3 linked regions of the Oryctolagus cuniculus genome follow. The protein of the gene in region 3 purifies or fractionates together with the protein of the main gene of each other region. This does not show direct contact. Links are inferred from orthologs where the notes say so. Each region holds a gene or a part of one and is shown on either strand. Other genes may lie near its edges.

Region 1 (3,644 bases), on a different chromosome or scaffold from region 3:
TGTTTTAGTGAGTTTTAAGACCTCCAAAGCCCCTACCATCTAAAACTCCTTTCGGTAGGAGCTGTGTGTAGCTCAGTGATTAGGACACCTGCTCCCTCATCCAAGTGCTTAGATTCGATGCCCTTGCTCTGGCTCCTGATTGCAGCTGGCTGCCAGTGCAGACCCTGGGGGACAGCAGTAGTGACTTCAAGTCCTTGAGTTGCTGCCATCCACGTGGAAGACCTGGGATGTGTTTCTGGCTCCCACTTCTGCGCCCTTCATTGTGGGCCACTTGGGGAATGAGCCAATAGATTGGCGGCTCTCTGTCTCTCACTGCCTCTCAAATTAAAAATCCTGTCAATAGTTATTATTTGGTGGTACCATAAGCAGAAATATAGAACAGATCTTAGGCCGGTAACCCTCTCTTCTGAAAAGGATAGATTTGGCCGGCGCCGCGGCTCACTAGGCTAATCCTCCGCCTAGCGGCGCCGGCACACCGGGTTCTAGTCCCGGTCGGGGCGCCGGATTCTGTCCCGGTTGCCCCTCTTCCAGGCCAGCCCTCTGCTGTGGCCAGGGAGTGCAGTGGAGGATGGCCCAGGTGCTTGGGCCCTGCACCCCATGGGAGACCAGGAAAAGCACCTGGCTCCTGGCTCCTGCCATCGGATCAGCGCGGTGTGCTGGCCGCAGCGCGGCGGCCGCGGCGGCCATTGGAGGGTGAACCAACGGCAAAGGAAGACCTTTCTCTCTGTCTCTCTCTCTCACTGTCCACTCTGCCTGTCAAAAAAAAAATAAATAAATAAAAAATAAAAATGAAAAGGATAGATTTGGTTTCTGTAATTGAATCTTAGTGCTTTCTAAGGTACTAGTACTTGTGAATCTTAGTACTTTCTAAGGGAAGGAAGTCTTGAGGGCAGGCGGGCTTTTGAGGAAGACCACACAGAAGTAGTACCCCTCTTTGCTTAGAGCTCTGGAGTGAAGCACAGCCTAGAGGCACATGGGAAGTGCCACAAAAGAGCATTAGGTTTTTTCAGAAGAACTTGGGGTGGTCGTTTGCCTTTGGCAGTACTGCTTCCAGCACGGGTGCATCACTAGCTAGTCTGAATTGTGCAGCAGAGGAGAGCGTTGTGAGGGCCTGGCAGGTTCATCATGTGGGAGTGCAACATTCCAGTTGAAGCGAATCAGTGTCTGGTGAGGTATTTGAGCTTAGATACAGGGAATACTGGATTGGATTTATGTTAAAGGCTCAGTTGGGGGTAGGTTGGGAAGGAGAGTATGGAGGAGAGCAGCTACAAGTAAGTTCCCGCTTTTCATGTCCCTGTAGGTAAAATGTAGTCTTACAGATTTTACATAGTTAGCCCATTTATTTCTCGGAATTCTAGGAAGTGGTGGTCCCCAGTTTGCAGAGAAAGCACGAAGACTTGGGGAATGAATGTATGTTATTTCTTCTAGACTCTCAAATCCAGTATGTGGCAGTCCTTGAATTTGAGCCCTAGCCCCTCTGAATCCAAAGTTTACTCACTCTTAAGAGTACTTGTTGCATCTTAAACTATGGAATTATTATATATTTTATGTTTGATAACTGTCAATTTTGGCTACCTTTTAAATGGTGTATCTTGGGGGATGGGATGTCATCAGTTTTCTTCCAGGTGTTGTAAAGCCTGTGTAATTTCCTTCACTGTTCACCTTAGCATTGAGAGTAAACACGAGGTTACGATCCTGGGAGGACTCAATGAGTTTGTAGTGAAGTTTTATGGACCACAAGGAAGTAAGTACACGTATTGGTATGTGTTCCTCTGCTACAGTTGTCTCTAAACATTGACTTTTTACAGTCGACTTTTAAACATCTTTATGTGATACTATTAGACATGAATTGTGGATTCTGGTTTGGTTTATGGGTGGTTTCTGGGAAATGTTTTTTGTTTTCATTTGGAGGGAGGCATGAAGGTTTGTTTTTGTTTTTTTGTTTCTTTGTTTTTTTGTTTTTAAGATAGAAGAGAAAAGGACAATAATGTTTAATACTAAACAAGTAAATTTGGGAGAGAGAATGAACCTTGGCTTATCTTCTAACTCCATGTCTTTTAAGCAAAAATATCTTAATCTGAATGTAGGGTACTTTTGGGTTGTAATAGGTCCCTGGCTCTTGAAGGAGCCAATTTGAAAGGTTATCTGAGGAGGCGAGGGTTAATGTTTAACTTACACTGAGGTTTATTTTCTGATTTGGACTCAGTTCTGGTGTTTAACATGTTGGCTTTTATTTCAGCACCGTATGAAGGCGGAGTGTGGAAAGTTAGAGTGGATCTTCCTGATAAATACCCTTTCAAGTCTCCATCTATAGGTACGTGGCTGGTTTTATCTATGAGAAGAAACCCAGCATCTCGTGGGTAATTAACTCCAGAAACAGTGACTTAGCTATGTTCTGTGACTTTGGGGGGGCACTTCCTTGGTGTCATGGAAGACATTCACATTTTCCTTTTCACATAATCACAGTGACAATCTCTAGATTTCTCTCTTTTAGTGTCAAATTAAACCAACGTTAAGGCCCACGGCCCTTTCTGGTTGTGAGCAGTAAAATAATGAACAGTCTTAAATCTGGGTTTGTTGGCACGAATCTATGTAGAATCTATTTTAGTTTTGTCATTTAAAAATCCTCTGTAGATCTTAATTTGTGTTTGTTCTGGGTACAGCTCTGGGTATGTAGCAACGAAATGGTCCTTTTCCTTCGTCTCCATCCGGAATCTTTATATAAAGCCTCTAAACCGCAGAGCCTCAGTGGGGCTGTACGAAGTGGTACTTCTTCCACGCCTTCATCTTCCTTCTGCCTTACCTGGTGATCTTGTTACCTGTTGTCCCTGTTAAGGTACTCGGTGAGAATGGGGGGATTTTAATGTCCCGTGCTACAAAGGTAACATCCAGTTGAAAATTGATACTTTCAAATGTATTAATTATAGAATGGTGATGATTTAATTAATCCAACCTTTTCACTTCAGTCTATACATAGCTTTAAAATATTACAAACTTGTGACCGACTTTAAGTGAGAATAGTAAAATAATATTGGCGTACACTGTGTGTTCAGACGGTCTGAGCAAGCCTCATTTTCAGGGTTGCCAAAGTTAAAAAAACATCTTGCCACTGCCTTAGGCTGCCTTCAGAGCTGGAGTTAGGCCACCCCTTATACCCCCTACTCCCAGCAAAGGGTTATTGTTTGTTTCATTTTAAAGGAAACATTCTGAGCTCTAGGCCTTGATCCCACGCCCCCACATTGCTGTGTGGAGTCAGTGTGCAGAAAAGTTGGGATAGTCACCAAGTTCCAACTAAAAGCAGCAACATCTTCCCCAACATCTAGCTACTTTCTGTGCTGTAGAGTTTTATGCTATAAAAACCCTACAATGCATCTGTAATGGCTGGGGAGCTCTTAGTGCTCATTTGGAAGAATAAACTGGTAATTTCCTTGAGGTTTTCTAAACCTGGTACTTGAGAAAATATTTTGTGGATAATTGAATCAGAAATTTCATCATTGCCACAGGGGCCCCGAGTTTAGAGTTAGGGATGGTGAAACAGACTGGGGGTGTGGAGCCTTTTGCAGAGAGCCCTGAATAAGTCTGCCTCAAACACCTGCATGGTGGGGCAGCCGCCCTTTTCCTAGCTCCTCCCCTGGCAACAGAGT
Region 2 (3,644 bases), on a different chromosome or scaffold from region 3:
AACCATAGAGGGCATGTTAGAAAATGAATGTGGAAGAGGATACAGAACTTTGGGAACATGAAGGGGGTCCAACCCGCTCATTGTCCAACTGACGGTCATTGTTAACAGATTTAAAGGCTTGCCCAGGGTCCCAGATTGCTATTCACCTCAGCAAAGAGATTTAAGGACTGAGCTTGAGGTATCTAGAATGTTAACACACACACACACACACACACACACACACCTTACCTGTGTCCCTGATAACCTGATATAGACCAGATGCACATTAGTGATAGATAGGCTTAGCTCCAAAATCAACAAATGTGTGGGCGTCGGTGTGCAAGAAACCACTCCAAATATCATTGTCGTCATAAAGTATAAGGTATCTTGGAGCGACAGATCAAAGAGGTGTGAGTGGTAAGCAGGCTAGTTATAGCTAAGAAAGAAGGAAAGTTACTTCTGAAAGAACAAGTTAGAAGAGGGAGAAAGATGGAAGGAGTAAAAAAGACTTCGAGGAAGTCTTCAAGATCATGATGGCCGTGTCATGGAAACCTGTTAGAGCGATTAAAAACAGCTGAGTGCTGCAGGTCAGCCGTCCCGGCAGGGAGGATGACCTTGGTGGTCGTGTTGGGTTAGCTGGGCAGGAGTCTGGGAGAGGCTGCAGGAACAGCGGTGACGAAAATACTCAATCCAGGGAGGAAGGAGATTCGAGAGGTGAGGGATAGATGTTGTTCATCTGCTTGCAGGTCTCTCTGAAGGGTATTTTTAGCTTTCATGAGAAGCTGTTTTTTTAAAGTTGATCATTTCGACACACTTCCTGAGAGCTGGCAGTCGAACCAGAGCAGCTTGCCTTTGTGTCGTGGCTTCCCTTCTCTACATTCCTTGAGTGCACACCTGCTGTAAACTCTTGATGTAAGACTGTCTAGTCACATTCACGTTTACTAGCAGCTCTCAGTATGGGGTCCTCTGACCAGCAGTACCAGCAGAACCTGGGAGCTTGTTAGAAATGCTGACTCAGTGGAAAGCTTGGTGGGGCCTAACAGTCTGTTTTAACAGACCTTCCGTGTGATTCTGAAAGGTGCTTAAGTTTGAGGCCAGGGATCTGTAGAAATAGCATTCCTTTTCTGCCCTGTGGTATTTTTCCAATTTTGCCAGCTCTGGTTCCATCCAGCTTGGGACCGAGTTACCTCTGTTGTCTGGGATCGCTACAAGGGGCAGATTTGTGGCACCACAGGTAGTGACAGCAAAGTAGCATTAGGGTGAGAAAAGGAACTGCAACACCGAAAGACCCACCAGCTTCATTCATACCTTCTAAAGTCCCTAGAGTAGAGCTGAGAATGACGTCAAAGGTAGCTCCAATTAAGGCTGATCGCCGAAGCTTAAGGACACTCCCTTGGGGACTGCACTCTGGGGAGCTAGGGCCATTGAGGTTTTTCTAGCCTCTTCTTTCTTTCCTGGCTCCAGCTGCATCCTACACAGACAGCTCTGATGATGAGGTTTCCCCCCGGGAGAAACAGCAAACAAACTCCAAGGGCAGCAGCAACTTCTGCGTGAAGAACATCAAGCAGGCAGAATTCGGGCGCCGAGAGATCGAGATTGCGGAGCAAGGTAAAGAGCGGGCATGGGTGGCGGACCAGGAGCAGCCCCCTTGCTGGGCCTCAGGGTTTACAAACAACTCAGGGCTGGAATGCCAGCCCAAAAGGACCCTGGGAAGAGACAGAAGGCGGGGCTTTGAGACGAACGCTCTCTCCATGGAGCTTGAGTTCTGGGCTCTTGTTCTGTTCTCCCTTCCTCCTGTTCTCAGCGCGTGATAGTTACCACAGAGCAGTTTGTTTCTCCCCGCCGTGGCAGCATGTTCAGAGATCTACACTGCGGAGTCAGCAAGTCCTGGATGGCTGTGTGGTGTCACTGATGGGGATCTGACTACATCTGCCAGTCACAGAGACCTGGATCTCCCAGAAGCAGCAGCTGATGTGGGAGGGTGCTAAGCTAAGGATGTGGTGGCCTGGGGTCTTGTTTGGTCCTGAGCACCCTCTGCTGGAGCAGAGTGAAAGTCACTGGTGCTCAGATCTGGCTTTCTCTGTCCTACTCCACTCCCCTGAGATCCCTGTACTCTGATTGTTTTCCCACTGAAGGCCTGTTTTATACTGAGAAGGAGGAGAGAAACCAAACAGATGGACAGGGTAGGGTAAACCACGGAAAAACAGAAGCCACGTTGCTTCCAGTGAGGGCAAAGTTTTTTTTTGGGCCTGATGATTGTGTGTAGGAGTCCATTGGCCAGTGCCACAACTATTTCCCACTCCTCCTGAATGAATGATGAGACTCACTTTCCATTTTGGTCAGGTTTGAGAATTTGCTTCATTCTCTGTTCAGTCCTCTGCATATAAAGCTGAAGCAGTAGAGGAAGAGAGAAATCGCAAATGACACATGACAACTGTCCACGGCACTGCTGGTGAGGCTGCCAGTCGTCATGGAAACACACCTAGCGGTCTTCCGCCTCATCTCACCCTATCTCAGCAGATCCAGAGCAGCCCTAGGTGTTGCCGGGGCAGGAGCTGATGATGCTGCTAAGTGCGGACCTAGCTCAAATCCTCTGTTCTTTCACAGACATGTCTGCTCTGATTTCACTCAGGAAACGTGCTCAGGGGGAGAAGCCCTTGGCTGGTGCTAAAATAGTGGGCTGTACGCACATCACAGCCCAGACAGCGGTGAGTTTGTTAGAAGAGATGGCATTCCTGCTAATGAGGGGAAGAAAGCGGCAAATGGGTTTTATAGACTTGCTTTTCCTTCCCCATCTAGCCAACCTCTAAATGCTATTAGATGGGACTGCCCTGTTATGCAATAATGGCGTTTTCTAACTTTGTGTGGGTAAAGCAACTGTTAGAAAACCTGACTTAGGAAGATCTAGATTGGCAAAAATAGGATGGTTATAAAAATTTTGTTAAGTCATTAACAGAGACTTCCAGAAACATATATCTTGGGTAGAGTTAAATACCAGTGTGCCGCCTGGCTGGGGTTAGAGCCTTTTGTGACTCTCTTGCTGTAGAGTTGATGGATACTGCTTTCTTACTGGGGTTTGCTGCCCACTGCTGCATGGCCCGCCTCTTCCTCACCCTGTCTTCCTGCACATCCACACAGGTGTTGATCGAGACGCTGTGTGCCCTGGGGGCCCAGTGCCGCTGGTCTGCCTGCAACATCTACTCAACGCAGAATGAAGTGGCTGCAGCACTGGCTGAGGCTGGTAAGTTCAGCTTTTCTCACCAACTTTGCCCTAAAGTAATGATCTAAACATTTATGTATTGAAATTGTCGTTGCATGGCCATTTGTGTCCAATGGTTATAGAATTGAGGGGTAATAAAAATGAACAGGAAAACAATAGATGATAAAATTAAAGTCTGTAGTCATGATGGGGTATTAAGTAGGCATTTAAAATGATCTTTGAAAAGAGTCTAATGACATGAGGAAATGCTCAGTTCTTTTTTCTTTTATCTTTTTAAAGATGTATTTATTTATTTGAAAATCAGAATTACAGAGAGGGAGAGACAGAAAGAGAGAGAGATCTTCTCTCTGCCGGTTCACTTCCCATATGGCCACAACTTCCAGTGCTGTGCCAGGCTGAAGCTGGGAGCCAGGAGCTTCTTCCAGATCTCCCAAGTGGTTATCAG
Region 3 (4,320 bases):
TCCACTCCCCTGGTGGCCACAATGGCCAATGCTGGGCCAGGCTGAAGCCAGGAGCCAGGAACTTCACCTCCCCGTCTCCCATATGGGTGCAGGGGCCCAAGCACTTGAGCCGTCTTCTGCTGCTTTCTCCAGGCTATTAGCAGGGAGCTGGATTGGAAGTGGAGCAGCAGGGACACAGATGATGCCCATCTGGGATGCAGGCACCGCGGGCTGCGGCTTAATCCCTCATGCCACAACACCTGCCCCTGTTTTGTTTTTTGTTTTTGTTTTTCTTTTTAACCACTAAAAGTGGCGATGGTTGATGCCGGGGGAGCAGGTATCATTTTTGATGGTAGTAAAAAGAAAGTGGAAAAGAACTAGAGAACTCTGGGCCGTCCCTCTGAAGAGCACATGAGGGTGATCCCAGGATCTGCCGCCCCACCCCACGGAAGCTCCTTAAGGAATCCCTCATCCTTTGTCTCCCAAACAGAACCAAGCAGGGTACACCAAGGGCACAGAGCACAGCCCTGTATTGGGGCAGGGTAAAACTGATAATTGGCGACAATGTCACCCCTGAGCTGAGTGAGAGCGAGTACCTGGCATGCGATGAGATGACTGGGGAAGTTACAAAACAGCAGGCTTTTAGATGTACTTGGTAGCCTCAGAGGTGGGCCAGGCACTCCTAGCATAACAGCTAAACGTAGGTACCCATGGAGATGGCGACCAGGTTTCCACGGAGGAAGGTGAGGATACTGTGGCGGGGGGGGGGGCGGGGGGGGCGGGTAGGGATGGTGAGGAACACGCTGCGCTGACGGACTTCAAGAAGGAGGTGCAATTTAGGGGCCGTGTTTCTGGCTAAACCAAGGGCTCTGGAGAGCGATCCAGGGTCCTGCCTGGGGAGCAGCGAGGGCAGGGAATGACAGGGCAGAGTATTAGGTGCGATTCTCCCTCTCGAATGACTCAGGGAGTCTGGGAAAGAGCAAACCCAAAGGGCCAAAAAGGTGAAGGCGCATACGGATTAAGTTCGGTTCAGGGGCACTTTTCAAGGTGGACGTCCACGTGCCAAGATGCTCCGACTTGGCGCTTGGGGAGCCTGGCTCCGCATGCGGCGTTCAGGGTGCACCAGCTCTCCGGGACTCCCGGAACCGTTAAGCAGCGGCTCCCTGAGCCTCCTCGCTTCCCTGGCTCAGGCCTCTGGGGGCTCCCCGCCACCTCCCCGCTCCCAGCGCCTCCCTTCCTCTCCGCTCTCTGGAGAGCAGAGGGGATGCCCAGCGGAGTGCTCACGCTCCCAGCAGCCAACGCTCACCCCGCGGCCTCTTCCGCGTGGCCTGGAGCTGCCTCCCCGAGCTCTCCTGCGCACCGGGGCAGCCGGGCCGCGGGAAGCAGGAGCCGCAGCCGGAGCCCGAGCCGGAGCGCGCAGCCTAACGGTCCGGCGGCCGCGCCCCGCGCCCCGCCTGGCGGCGCCGCAGCTGCTGCCCGCCCGCCCCCTGCGTCATGACGCCGGCGCCCAACGCGGAAGCCGCTCGCGGCGCGCCTGGTCCAGCCGCGGGCTGAGCGCGGAGCCGCGGCGGGCGCGGGAGCCGGGCCGGGGCGCGAGCCGGGCACAGCCTCCCGCCGCAGCTGGGCCGAGCGGGCGGAGCGAGCCGAGTGGGGCCGAGTGCGCCGGCGGCGGCGGCGGCGGCAGGCGGAAGCGGGCACGGCGCGCCGGGGCCGCCGCCGAGGGGATGCGGCTGCCTCCCCGGGCGGGTGTGTAGAGGGCGGGTCCCCGGCCTCGGGAGCGCGGCGGTGGAGGGGACGGAGGCGGCGGCCATGGCGACCCCCGGAAACCTGGGGTCTTCTGTGCTGGCGAGCAAGACCAAGACCAAGAAGAAGCACTTCGTAGCGCAGAAAGTGAAGCTGTTCCGGGCCAGCGACCCGCTGCTCAGCGTCCTGATGTGGGGGGTAAACCACTCGGTAAGGGCTCGGCTGCGGCGCGCGGTCCTCTTCCTCCTCGTTCCCCTCCTCCTCCGGCCGCGGCTGCTGCGGGGCGGGCAGCCGGAACCTGCTGGGTCTCACCCTCCACTTCGGCGCCCCCGGCCCCGGGGCGCGCGCTCTCCCCTCCCGACCACTTGCGCCCCCTTTGGACCTTCGGACCCGGAGCGGCACGAGGGGTCCGGTCTGCGTTTGAGCCCTGCGGCCGGTGCTGGTGCTGCCCGCGGTCCGCTCGCCCGCCCGCAGGGAGGTCCCCGCAGCTTGGGAAGTGGGAAGTTTGTGCGGGGCACGGCTCCGCCTCGCCTGTCAGCGGCTGCTGGGGGCCGAGTCCAGGCCACCGCTCCGGTACCCCCCGCCGCCAGGCAGGTGTACCTGTTCCAGGTTGGGGGCGTCCGGAACCTCCTGCGGGCGGTCGGGAGAGCACGATTTGGGGCAACAGCTTAAGAGCTTAGGTCTCCCCCCCTCCTCTTTAAAGGAAGTATTATTAGACACGAGGAGGCCTTTTGGCAAATTAGAAGCCAGTGCAAGTGTTGCACTGGTGTTCAGCATCTTGGGCCGCTCGTCTCCCGCATCGCGGGCGGAGGAGCCATTGGCGGGGAGTGCGCTCCGCTCACCTCCTCCTGCAGCCGGCCCTAAGCCGCCGCCTGCGGAGGGCGGTCCGGGCGGGGCCCGCTGGAGGGGTCCCGGCGGGCGCGGACGGGGGGTCTTGAGCTGACAGCCTCTGCGCAGGGGCTGTGTTTAAAAGGCTGCAGGAGAACGCCTGGGGAAGCTTTGCGTACGGCCACGGGCGGTGGAAGATGCGCCCCCGCGGGCTATGCGGTTTGCGGTGCGAGGGTCCGAAACAGCCTCCTGCAGATCTTACCGCGAGGAACTCCTGCAGTTTTAATCAACTCAGATGGGGATCAGGAAATGTGATAGGAGCTGTTGGCAGAGCTGCGGAAGTAGAAATAAGACAGCGAATTTTGACCGTGACCTTGCCCACTGCAGTCAGTGGGCATCCGAGGAAAGAGGCAAACTTGCTTTTCGTGCTTTTGATGTCCACGGGTGTCATTGTGTCCTTTTCACCGTGACGGAGAAGGCAGAAAACCACGTTGGTGTTTGAGAGAGCACTCTCGGTTTCACGAAGTTGTTTAAGATGTCTCAGAAGCATCATTGTCCGATTTCTATTCCCCGATGGTGTTGGGGGAAAAGGTGAAACAGTAGCAGGGCTGATTGCGTGGAGTGGCTGTTTTTAACAAAGTTGAGAAATAATTGTTTCTACCAGCTTAATGTGTGATCCGCTTAAGTTCATTTTAACTGAAATACACTTTAAAAAAAAAAAAAAAAAAACAAAACTATCAGAGTTGTAAGATGTTGCAACAGCATACATGCATGGCTGCACCAAAAACTCCCCCAAATTTTATGGGGAAAATGAAACGAATGGTTTCCTATGTAATAAATCTGTAATTTAGAGCTATGTCTAATTTTGTTAAACACTTTTTAAAAAAAATTATGTTGTTAGTTTCTGGGATAGAAACCTGTAATTTACAGAATAGGATGTATGTCTCCTTGTGCTTACTCATATTTATGGGTGTTTTTATCTCTCAGAGTTCTGGTGTTTTGGCCAGGAGATTGTTTGTTTCAAGGTTTAATCTAGTAAAGTAGTGTCAACAGTGTGCTGCCGAAAAAGTGTGCTCCCCAGGAATCAGTCTGAATTCCAGTTTACTTTAGAAAATCTTGCAACTGTGCATGTGTTACTGGGACTGCTTATGTGTTACTGGATTTTATGGTTTGCTACATTTGTTTTATAGTTTCTTGCATTGGAAATATTTCAAAACTACTTAAGGCTTATAATGTATCATCTGTAGGTAGTAAGTTTGGTGTTACTTTTGTCTTCATGAGAAGTGAGTATACATAGCCAGCGGAGTGAGGTTTCCAGGTTTCCATAGGATACAAGCCTATTATTTATATTGGGCACAGGCAGTGCCAGCCACAGTGGGAAAGATTGCTAAAACCCCTCTCATATGTATGTCCAAATATCAGAGATATCTGCCTTCGTATTAAAAGCATCTTTTCCATGAGTTTCTTTTTCAAAATGTCTATTTGTTTTAAATATACTGGTTTTTTGGGGAAGAATACCAGAGTGTATGTAAGGATGAAATTTAAACTCTTAGATACCATGTACTTCTTGTTGATTTAATTTTAGGAGATAATATCTGATAGTAGATACATGTTTTATATGACTTGTGCCCCAAAGTTTACAGTTTAATGTGAGAATAAGGATGTCAGCAATATTAAGAATGAGCAAAAATAGTGCTGGATGTGAATGGGACCCTTGAGAAAGTATAGCTGAAAAGGAATAGATAATTTAAATGTCTTTTCCTACATCTC

Evidence for each region.
Region 1: the proteins of PIP4K2A (region 3) and UBE2H purify together in Homo sapiens (affinity purification with mass spectrometry; 3 studies listed by BioGRID and IntAct, with this or other methods). This does not show direct contact. The link is inferred for Oryctolagus cuniculus from reciprocal best matches to the Homo sapiens genes PIP4K2A and UBE2H.
Region 2: the proteins of PIP4K2A (region 3) and AHCYL1 purify together in Homo sapiens (co-immunoprecipitation; 3 studies listed by BioGRID and IntAct, counting the BioPlex papers as one, with this or other methods). This does not show direct contact. The link is inferred for Oryctolagus cuniculus from reciprocal best matches to the Homo sapiens genes PIP4K2A and AHCYL1.

The regions. Positions count from the first base shown.
Region 1 is NC_091434.1:166,050,407-166,054,050, reverse strand, and holds part of UBE2H (ubiquitin-conjugating enzyme E2 H), read left to right. Parts: intron 1-1,667; coding exon 1,668-1,744; intron 1,745-2,239; coding exon 2,240-2,314; intron 2,315-3,644. UniProt on the Homo sapiens protein: Accepts ubiquitin from the E1 complex and catalyzes its covalent attachment to other proteins. E2 ubiquitin conjugating enzyme that transfers ubiquitin to MAEA, a core component of the CTLH E3 ubiquitin-protein ligase complex.
Region 2 is NC_091438.1:60,310,972-60,314,615, reverse strand, and holds part of AHCYL1 (S-adenosylhomocysteine hydrolase-like protein 1), read left to right. Parts: intron 1-1,443; coding exon 1,444-1,587; intron 1,588-2,586; coding exon 2,587-2,687; intron 2,688-3,117; coding exon 3,118-3,220; intron 3,221-3,644. UniProt on the Homo sapiens protein: Multifaceted cellular regulator which coordinates several essential cellular functions including regulation of epithelial HCO3(-) and fluid secretion, mRNA processing and DNA replication.
Region 3 is NC_091444.1:48,947,198-48,951,517, reverse strand, and holds the start of PIP4K2A (phosphatidylinositol 5-phosphate 4-kinase type-2 alpha), read left to right. Parts: upstream 1-1,505; 5' UTR 1,506-1,788; coding exon 1,789-1,932; intron 1,933-4,320. UniProt on the Homo sapiens protein: Catalyzes the phosphorylation of phosphatidylinositol 5-phosphate (PtdIns5P) on the fourth hydroxyl of the myo-inositol ring, to form phosphatidylinositol 4,5-bisphosphate (PtdIns(4,5)P2). Has both ATP- and GTP-dependent kinase activities.